2 linked regions of the Neodiprion lecontei genome follow. The protein of the gene in region 1 purifies or fractionates together with the protein of each later gene. This does not show direct contact. Links are inferred from orthologs where the notes say so. Each region holds a gene or a part of one and is shown in the gene's direction. Other genes may lie near its edges. The genes, in order: ras-related protein Rab-28-like; retinal rod rhodopsin-sensitive cGMP 3',5'-cyclic phosphodiesterase subunit delta.

The links.
Region 2: the proteins of ras-related protein Rab-28-like (region 1) and retinal rod rhodopsin-sensitive cGMP 3',5'-cyclic phosphodiesterase subunit delta purify together in Homo sapiens (affinity purification with mass spectrometry; 3 studies listed by BioGRID and IntAct, with this or other methods). This does not show direct contact. The link is inferred for Neodiprion lecontei from reciprocal best matches to the Homo sapiens genes RAB28 and PDE6D.

The regions. Positions count from the first base shown.
Region 1 is NC_060260.1:25,741,050-25,746,767, forward strand, and holds ras-related protein Rab-28-like, read left to right. Parts: upstream 1-1,793; 5' UTR 1,794-1,921; coding exon 1,922-1,996; intron 1,997-2,666; coding exon 2,667-2,852; intron 2,853-3,162; coding exon 3,163-3,396; intron 3,397-4,304; coding exon 4,305-4,541; 3' UTR 4,542-5,012; downstream 5,013-5,718. Other genes in the region: F-box/LRR-repeat protein 7, read left to right, coding at 12-381, 455-658, 1,049-1,184; hexosaminidase D, read right to left, coding at 5,493-5,718.
Region 2 is NC_060263.1:14,623,447-14,627,265, reverse strand, and holds retinal rod rhodopsin-sensitive cGMP 3',5'-cyclic phosphodiesterase subunit delta, read left to right. Parts: upstream 1-1,986; 5' UTR 1,987-2,109; coding exon 2,110-2,150; intron 2,151-2,360; coding exon 2,361-2,423; intron 2,424-2,496; coding exon 2,497-2,754; intron 2,755-2,854; coding exon 2,855-2,936; 3' UTR 2,937-3,112; downstream 3,113-3,819. Other genes in the region: RING finger protein 207-like, read right to left, coding at 1-465, 594-742, 1,373-1,545. UniProt on the Homo sapiens protein: Promotes the release of prenylated target proteins from cellular membranes. Modulates the activity of prenylated or palmitoylated Ras family members by regulating their subcellular location.

The DNA.
Region 1 (5,718 bases):
CTATGTTGCAGACTTGCAAAGTGAGTACGTGATGCAGGTGGAGTGGGAAAAGTCCAGCGTCCAAGAATTGGACATAACAGCAACAGATTTGAGTACCGAGTGCCTGATCGATATGCTGACGCGGATTCCTGGATTACGATTTCTCAGCGCTGGGCAATTGAACGGCTTCAATGACAGCGTACTTAAATCCTGGGCCGAGGTTGGAAATCCGAGAAATTTGATAGCCTTGGACCTAGACAGTTCGGATAACCTGACCGACGATGGTTTGCACAAATTCTTGTCAAGACACGGTCACCAGCTTTGGGGTGTAGCATTGTCGGGAATGCCTCATATCACGGACCAACTGTGGCAGAGCATTTTGCCAATTCTGACAAACACGAAGTGAATAGTTGATCGATTACACGAGAATCGTAAAGTCTAACATTAGCCAAAACAATGAAAACTTGTTTTACAGGATTGTTGTTATGGGCACCCAGGAGCGGTTGGGGGTTAATATTCACGTGGATCAGCTCATGGACGGCATTGCCAATAACTGTCCCAACCTTGAACGACTCGAATTACGGTGGGATCCAGAAAATCTTCGATTCTCTGACAAGAGTCAAAAGGCTATCGACATTTTGCGGGTGAAATGTATTAAGCTTAGATGTTTGGTATTGAGGTACGATCATATTCCATTGGCGAGCATTCAAAGAATTCTCCTCTACTAATAAGAAACTTTCCAAACGAAATCCTAACAAAGCTTCCAATATTTCATCAATACTTTTATCATACATACAATAATATATATGTATTCAAGTTGAGCATTTCTGGAAATGAGAAACACGCCTGATTGACGAAAGAAATATGAAAACATATACTATATCAATTCATAAAGTGAACTATTTTTAGAATCCAATGCTATAGTTTGTATCTAGAGTTGGGAGAAAGACTTTTCAATTATAAACTTGTTATTAAAGCGATCCAAAACAGTCAATGAGCGATGTAAGGGTACCATTGCCATCTAGACATGTAAACAATACATTCAAATCAATTTTCTCTTTATTTCCAGCGACGGAAGGTATTACGAAATCGTTAAAGCCAACTTCGAACGTGCCGATAGAACAACGGTAGTTAGGACGACTACGTGTTCCAGAGTTACGAACTATTATTTATTGCATAACTACAAAGATTTAATATTTAATTAGAAAAATTAATGATAATTCAATTTTCAAGTGTGAATTACTCGACTTGAGACACAGTGCTGTGCCTTTCGTGTCCGTAAAATTCAAGTGCCAAGATGAACGAATTTACACGTACATAAAAAATACATTGTATCTATTAACAAACAGATGTTAACATCTGCGCATGGATACGCAACTACGAAGATAAGCGTATATAATATATTATTTTTGAATAAAGAAATACTCAAAGAAACAAAATCTTGAAATATCTGAATTGATCCACTCAGTGATCGTTCCTGCACACTGCAGCACCGTTCCAATATACAAGTTCTTTCCTTGTTGTTTCATGATTCCAGTGATTGTAGTACAGTGACTAAAATTGGGTCTAGATCGTGCAATTTTGTTTCTTTATACGCGTCAAGCTACCGCGTAAGCTAATGCATACAGAGTTGGCATGGAAAAGCACAATTTGACGATGCGATGGTGCGAGAGGCCTTCCGAAGGCGCTTGCGCGAGGCGACTTTACGTCTAGAGCCAGTAATGGCTTTTGCAGAGCGAGCTGAGGCCAGATCGACGGCGATAATGGTCGAATATCGATTGTTGTTTAATTTATTCATGTTGGCTGACAGGGCTTTTATTTGAACCGCTCCAAGGCGACGGTCGGTCGATTGGCACCGAGCCTTGCTTCAGGCTGGTGGTCAGTACAAAACTGACTCGAGTGTCACCCTGACGTTATTATTAGCGTGATTGTTATTTAAGAAATGTCTGACTCGGAGGAAGAACTCTTTGAAAAACGATTGAAATTCGTTCTCGTAGGGGATACCGGAGCTGGAAAAGTGAGTGTGGTTTTTCGAAACAGGTGGCATGCTTGTAATGCACCGTAGAGGACAATTCGCGTTTCGTTCAGCCAACGGATTGTCAAGGTTCTTTGAGCAGACTGGGAAGAAAGCATCTGTTGCGCTAGACGTTGTCAATTAGGGACGGGGTTGAAATTCCGAATTTGAAAAGTTTCGAAAGCGCTAACTGGCGAATTGTTAATAATTCGGACATTTTACTCCGCCCCGTCAATTACAACGACAACTCATTGGCAATCACTAAAGCCGACTAATTCAGAGTGCAAGTCCTGTGAATTCATACTTCATACATTAAATACTAAAATCATTCCTTGTATAATTTGGACACTGGTTGTAAAAAACTTTTGTTCGGTGGACAATGAAATATTTACCGTATATAATACAAAGGCACAACTAATCTCCAAGTCAAGGATCCTACGAATATTTCATCTAGAATATCTAGAAGTATTAAATTACGCTGATTTCTAAGACACTGCTTGTATCTACATTGTGAAAAATTTAGGCATATTTTTGGTTTGAATTTTCCAACTATATAACGTAAATATCTAATCACACTTTTGAATGCGTGATATGCGGGTTGAAACAGTCAAATAAATTTATAATCTTTGTTGAAACACACAACCCGCGCTAATGAAAAGATTTTTTTTCTTAGACCAGTATAGCGACGCGATACTGCAATGGCGAATTTACTAGACACTATACGCCGACAGCCGGTGTTGACTTCTTTTTAAAGAACATCAGTCTAGGAGACTACAAAAGTATCACCCTTCACATTTGGGACGTTGGCGGTTTATCGTTACATGGAAATATGCTGGACAAGTACATTTTTGGCGCACACGTAAGTCGGAATACACGTACGTAAGTTATTGAGATAGAATTTTTGAATTGAGGAGTTTAACGAACTTGACCCACTTAATTACGAAATTGCATGCTGCAAGAGGACCCTTACAGTATATATCATATAGTTCTCGGCAATTTCATACCTATTCATGTATCTAAACTATCTCTGATACGAAATTTTGGTGTTACTCTTGAACAAGCACATCATGGAGTTACAAATGGAATCATAAAAGTACAGAGGGAGAAGTAGGAAATTCCCTAAAATGATTACGTACACTCTTTTTGAATACCTATATTACGTTTCTTAGGTAATTCTGTTTGTCTATGACGTGACAAACGCTTCGAGTTTCGAAATTCTTGGAGAATGGATTGAAACGGTAAAAAAAGTGAACGAGGTACTCGAAGCACAACCAGTTTTGGCAATAATAGGAAATAAGTGTGATATGGAACATCAGAGGAGTGTTAAAAGAGACAAGTCCCACATGTTCGCAGCTGAAAGCGGGATACCGTGTCACGACGTTTCAGCTAGAACCGGCGAATCGGTAATCCTTCACATTCAAATTTCGCCGGTACATTGAGCGATGTGCTCTTGCGAGAACCAAAACATCAGTCAACTTTCTCAAATCAGGATAACATGTACAGGATCGCATTGTAATTATTTCAGGCCGTTGTAAGATTTTCAGTTAACTGTTAGTCCGCTTTCAATGATTACTCTGAATAATCATAAAATCAGGAATCGAATCAGGAAATTATAATTGCTGAAAAATTTCTTACCTGAATATCTTTCATTGATAGACTGAGGTCTTCTTTGGAAAGGTAATGCTGCAACTGTATTTTCTCTATGTCTGTCAAAATCAATTCCCATTGGTACCTTTAATGTAGCCAATGATAATTATACAGTAGTTGAAACAAATTATCACTGTTTTTAACAGCAATCACCAAGCGCAGGAAACACTACAGATTCTGTTGCACGGAAGCTCGGCGTCTGTGATAACAGATGCGTGTAGTTGACAAAAAATTGACAGGAGTTTTAAACTAGTTAATAATTGAGTTAAAATATCAAGGATACTACGTATCTACGTATAGGTTTGCTGGATTCACCTAATCACGCGTAAACTTGATTGCTGCGAATGAACAGTAAAATTTATTTTATTAGAGATTAGAGAGAATTTTCTAAAGGCATACTTCGTTCAAAAAATTATTTACCTTACATACTTTTCAGTTGCGCTGAACGGATGGCATTTCACTTATCAATGCAGTATATAAAACTGATCACCATTTCCGTAGACCATATAAACTTTTTTCTACCTAAAGAAAAAAAACCACTGGTGGACTTATTTTCAGTTAAACAAATATCGGTTACCACGACAATCCTGTATTTTCAGACTGTGTATGTAAGTAATTTAAAGCCTTCTGTACTCTGTTATCCAATTTTATTTTATATTTTCAGATAACAATGCGCGTCGCAAGTTTGGCTGCCGAAGTATTAGGTATTTGCGTCACAAAAGCTGATCGAGGATTTTACAAACCTATAGTGCAGTCCGTAATCGATGATACGTTGACCTCAAAACAAGTACCGTCGACGGCTTTAAAAAAATGCGCAAAGAAGCACGCGAAAAAAATTCATAAGACTGAGTCTAATTCTGAGCTTCCACCTTCGAAATCGAGTATTTGTTCGTTGCAGTAGTTGAATTACGTACACAGAAGGAAAGGAGTTTATTTGAATGCATAGTATCGAATGTTAATCACATAAGTTACGATATTAATAATAACAAAAACGATGTAATGTAGCAACGGGTGCCTTAAAGTGACAGTTGATTTTGAAGAAATCGAAGTCAAGAATTTCGAAAGGGTCCAACGCAACAATTCGCGAAGACGCTTTATCGAATAAGTTGAAAAGATATTTATATCGATATTATATTAGTTACAATATTTACATTATCATACATTATAATGATAACATGGAACAGATACTTAAAAATTATATTTCTCAGTCTAATTCTCAAGTCATGGTTGCTTAACATTGGCTATGCTTTTGCATAACATGGAACGACGACCTACCAGCCTACGGAAACAAAAAAAAAAAACCATTGTGAAACGACTTATAGAACTGACAATGAGATTTCTTAAGCAAAATTTACCATAAATCATTCAGTAATACTCTAAAAATTACATGACAAAGTCATATACCATGACGCAAAAATAAATGATGAATTTTTTACCCTACTGAACGATCTTCTCCTTATTATTATACTTGCTAGATACGTGCACAGGAATTATAAATAACCAAATACGTAACTATAGAATAAATATGACCGTAAATGAGTTCAAATCTACACCGCAGAACATGATGTCTCATACATTTTTTCAGGATAACATGTTTAAATACTATGTGTACTGTGAGTTTAATAGATATATATTTCAATTATATTTGAAGGATCTTGATTCGTCAAGTACAAATGAGCTTCTACACGTCTCTATGCCTTATCGTTAACTTGATCAGACTATGTAGTATACTAATAGGATGATAACAAGGACAATAAGTAATGTTCTTTAACAATTATCGGCATATTTTTGTCGATAATTTGTAACAAACAAACTGAAGTATAATCAATCCAATGTTATTGATGAATTCGGTTTAAAGCTCATGCTTCGTTAATGGCCTTCTCGGCCAACTATCACGTTCTAATATTCTATTCTTAAGCGCCAAAAGTTTGGTCAACTTTTCATTCAAAGGCTCTACATAAGTTTCAATCCACTCATCAATTGTATAATTATCGTAGATGTCTTCCATTGCCTTCCGCATGTCTGTCTCAATGTATATTATTTCATTTTTATACTCGCCTAAGCTACTCAATGCATGT
Region 2 (3,819 bases), on another chromosome or scaffold:
ATCGCTCTTTTGTCTCAAACTGTCTCTGAATCTCGGAGAGAACAGACGAGTGGGTCTTCGCTACAGCCTCCTGCATCCCCTGGCAGTAAGAGTTCAAGGATCTTTTTTCAGTCTCCAAGCTGTGTCGTAGTTCATCCAATTGAGACTTCAAAGCTCTGAGTCCATCGCGTACGCCAGCCTGCAATTCGCAAATAGAGTTTGCTGCACGTTCCATTTTCTTTGAAGCCTGCTGCCACGCTCCGTCAATGTCGACGCAGTGGAGCCTCGCATCGGCCGGTGTGTCCCGGAAACATGTTGCGCATAACATGCACTTGGCGCTTTGACTATACATTATGTACTGCTCTCCATGCGTGGCACATTTCCTCTGAGTATCTTTGGCACATTTACTCATGTGGACGACATCATGGCTCGAAAACATCTTTGCTCGATGTGTGTGTTCCCTGCAGTGGTTGCACAACGCTTGACCTATTTGGTAAATTTATTTCATTAGAATATACATTTACCAGAAGCATTACTTTTTACTAATAACGCATTAAATTGCCAATAGACCAGTAGATTGAAATTATTTGTTACTAGAAATCGGTCATACAAACCGCAAGTTGTACAAAAGAACATTGTAGTTTTATCGCGTTTATCGCAATTGGCGCATGGTGGATTTTCTGAGTTTGCCAGCTCAACCAGCTGACGCATCAGGTAGTCTGGTGGAGGAAGCTGTGCCCCTTCTTTCAGCTGGGTTACTTGCCTGTAATAATTATGCAGAAAAACGGTATCAGGTTCGAATAAACAACAAAAAAATCCATGTTTATACTTCTCGCCATTCAGTTGTTTACATGCATAATCATATAAAAATTCGTCCACAAAATATTGAAAAATTGACTATGATGAATTTATCTAATTGTACTGTTGTATTCTGTGATAAAATAATGGGATATTCATAAATGTTTCTATTAGAAACAAATAATGATAATAGGAATAATAATAATAATAATAATAATATTGCCATTGTGCATAAGTTAATTGCTACAACGTTGGGGTAAGAATATTGACGTTTTGAAAACAATAAAGAGAGGTGAAAGGTCATCAATCGCCATGTAGATCTGTAAGGGTAAAGAGAAATGTGAGGTTCCGTTTTAAAGGAGTAGACAATTAACATCGAAAGCATCACGTAAATTTGGAATCCGGCAATTGTTCATAAAAATCTTCAAAGAGTTTGGCAGATGGAAATGGGGAGTATAGATTGGTAAGCTCGTAGCCATGTTGACGTAGGTATGTAGAACGCGTATGAGTGGGAGCGGTTGTAATTGATACAATATAAATCAATGCGTATACATATACATAGGTATAATACGTTAGATCTAATAGAAATGTGTACCCGCAAATGGGGCATGAGACTTTGCCGTCGGGATGTGGCCCCCTCAGACATTGGGCGCAGAAGCTGTGAAAGCATGACAGCAGACAGGGCTCGTTGTAATAATTGTGACAGACGCCGCAGACCAACGGCCCATCGGCGTCTCCATCGGCGGCAAGGCTCCCCGTGTTTGCCATCCCGTCTCGAATCCCCGAATTCCCGTCCTCTCGCCTCCCTCTCCAATTTCTTACTCACTTTAGGTAGAGATTTTTAATCTTAACATTGTATTAAAACAATCCAAGCGCGCGCTCGACGTCGACATCGTAAAATCTGTACGTCTCCCGGCAATTACCACCCGTGTTTCAAGTTTCCGACGAATTCGTAATCACTGCGGTATTTCTTGACTGACAAGCACGGATATTTACGGCCAATTTATCAGGGTCGACATAGCGGCGGCATCTCTCCAACCCTCAGCCCTGCTTTTTGGCTGCAAGAGCGCGCGCCCCACGCTAGGCAACCTAAATTACGCGCGCGCGCGCAACTTGCATACTCGCATAGAGATAATTGCATACTACCATGCAGACCATGCATACTACAGATTCGACGAGGAAAGTTTCCGATTATAGGCGACCATTTCCGAGGTTTCACGAGTCCTGCGAGATATGGACGGTCGATAGTTCTTCATCGAGCTGTCATTATTTTGTTTTCGTAGTGAATTGCAGTTTAATTCTGTGAAAAGAAGAGCCTGGGCATCTGCAAAAATGCCGTTACGAGCTGAAGAAATTCTCAAGGGATTTCAAGTGTATCCTTTCAATGTAGTTTTTCGATCCGTATGGAATAATCGTGCGTAGCTTGAGGTAGGTTATGTTGCCCGTAATTGATCAGTTTTGTTTGCTCGTGTCGTTCACTCACAGTAGAATCTTGAAACCGTACTAAGTATCTAGATGAATATCAGAGAATATCTGTCATATTGTATTGATTAGTCCTTGACTGCTAATTGCTGTCGAAACAGTAATTGGATGAATTTGCGTGATGCTGACAGTGGAAAAATACTTTGGCAAGGGAACGAGGACCTGTGAGTAAAGATTTCACCTGGTTCTCCAAAGAATTGAGAACCTATCTTTAAGTACTACATTTCTTCATATCAGGTCTGTACCAGAAGTTGAACACGAAGCCCGAGTTCCTAAAAAAATCTTGCGATGCCGGGCGGTATCTCGAGAGATCAATTTCAGTTCCGCCGAACCAATGGAGCGCTTTAGATTGGAGCAAAAGGTTTTGTTCAAAGGACGCTGTCTTGAAGAATGGTTCTTTGAATTCGGTTTCGTCATTCCTAGCAGCACAAACACTTGGCAGACTCTGATCGAAGCAGCCCCAGAGAGCCAAATGATGCCAGCTAACATTTTAAAGTATAACTCCTTTGCTCTTAATTCTGATCTGAAAATTTGACTTAAAAAAAAATGTTTCAAGTTTTTGACTACTTTCTGTTGCTGTGTTTTCTTGTTTTAGTGGGAATTTAGTTATTGAAACAAAGTTCTTTGACGACGATCTCTTGTTGTCTACTAGCCGTGTTCGCCTGTTCTACATCTAGGAGAATGAGCATTCAAATCGACTTTGAGAATTTGAACCACCCTGGGACCAAGGAATACAGAAAGAAGCTCAAAAACAGCGAACGTAGAGCTACTTAATAGAAAAACCTAGTAGCAGTCAGCATTAAATGTTCATCACGGTAGCAATCCTTGATAATACAAGAAGAATTAACATTGATCTCATGACTTTCTCTAAACGGAGCTTTCACCCAACCCAAAAATTTTGTTGATACGAGCAACAAAAACAATGATGATAATAATGAGAAAATCATAATCATGACATTGACACCATAAGATTTTTTATCCAATTAAACTTCTTTCACAAAAACGCCACTGGAATGAAACTTTAAAATATTACAAACAATAGCGTATTATTGGCTGTAATAAAATTCAAACATGCTTCTATATTTATTGATTTACAACTTATCATATTTAATTATTAATTAATTGTATATAAACGTATGTACTTCTAAGTCTTTACTATCAGCAGCACCAGCTATGAGTTATCCAAGCACAAAGCATTTTTTAAAATAACCAATAATACTGGAAACTCTGTTGGCATATTTTTGTAAATACATTGTGATACACTGCACTTAGTAATAAACGGTATTATAACAATAACATACAACAGTTTATTGCAAAGTAAACAAATATTTACCCCACAGTCAAAGAATTTTTCTGTGAGTACAGTAACATCTCGTCAGTTGAGTCCCGTATCAAAGCTTCAGACATTATCTCAAGTGCATTCAATAGCTTCTTTTATAATAATGCTAGCCTTCTCTTCAAAGTAAATTTTAAAATATTTAATCAATTAAGAACTTGCTCATAATGCAAGGTTCTTTAAAATGGTAATCACTGGTTGGCCAGCGGTGAAATGAACAATTT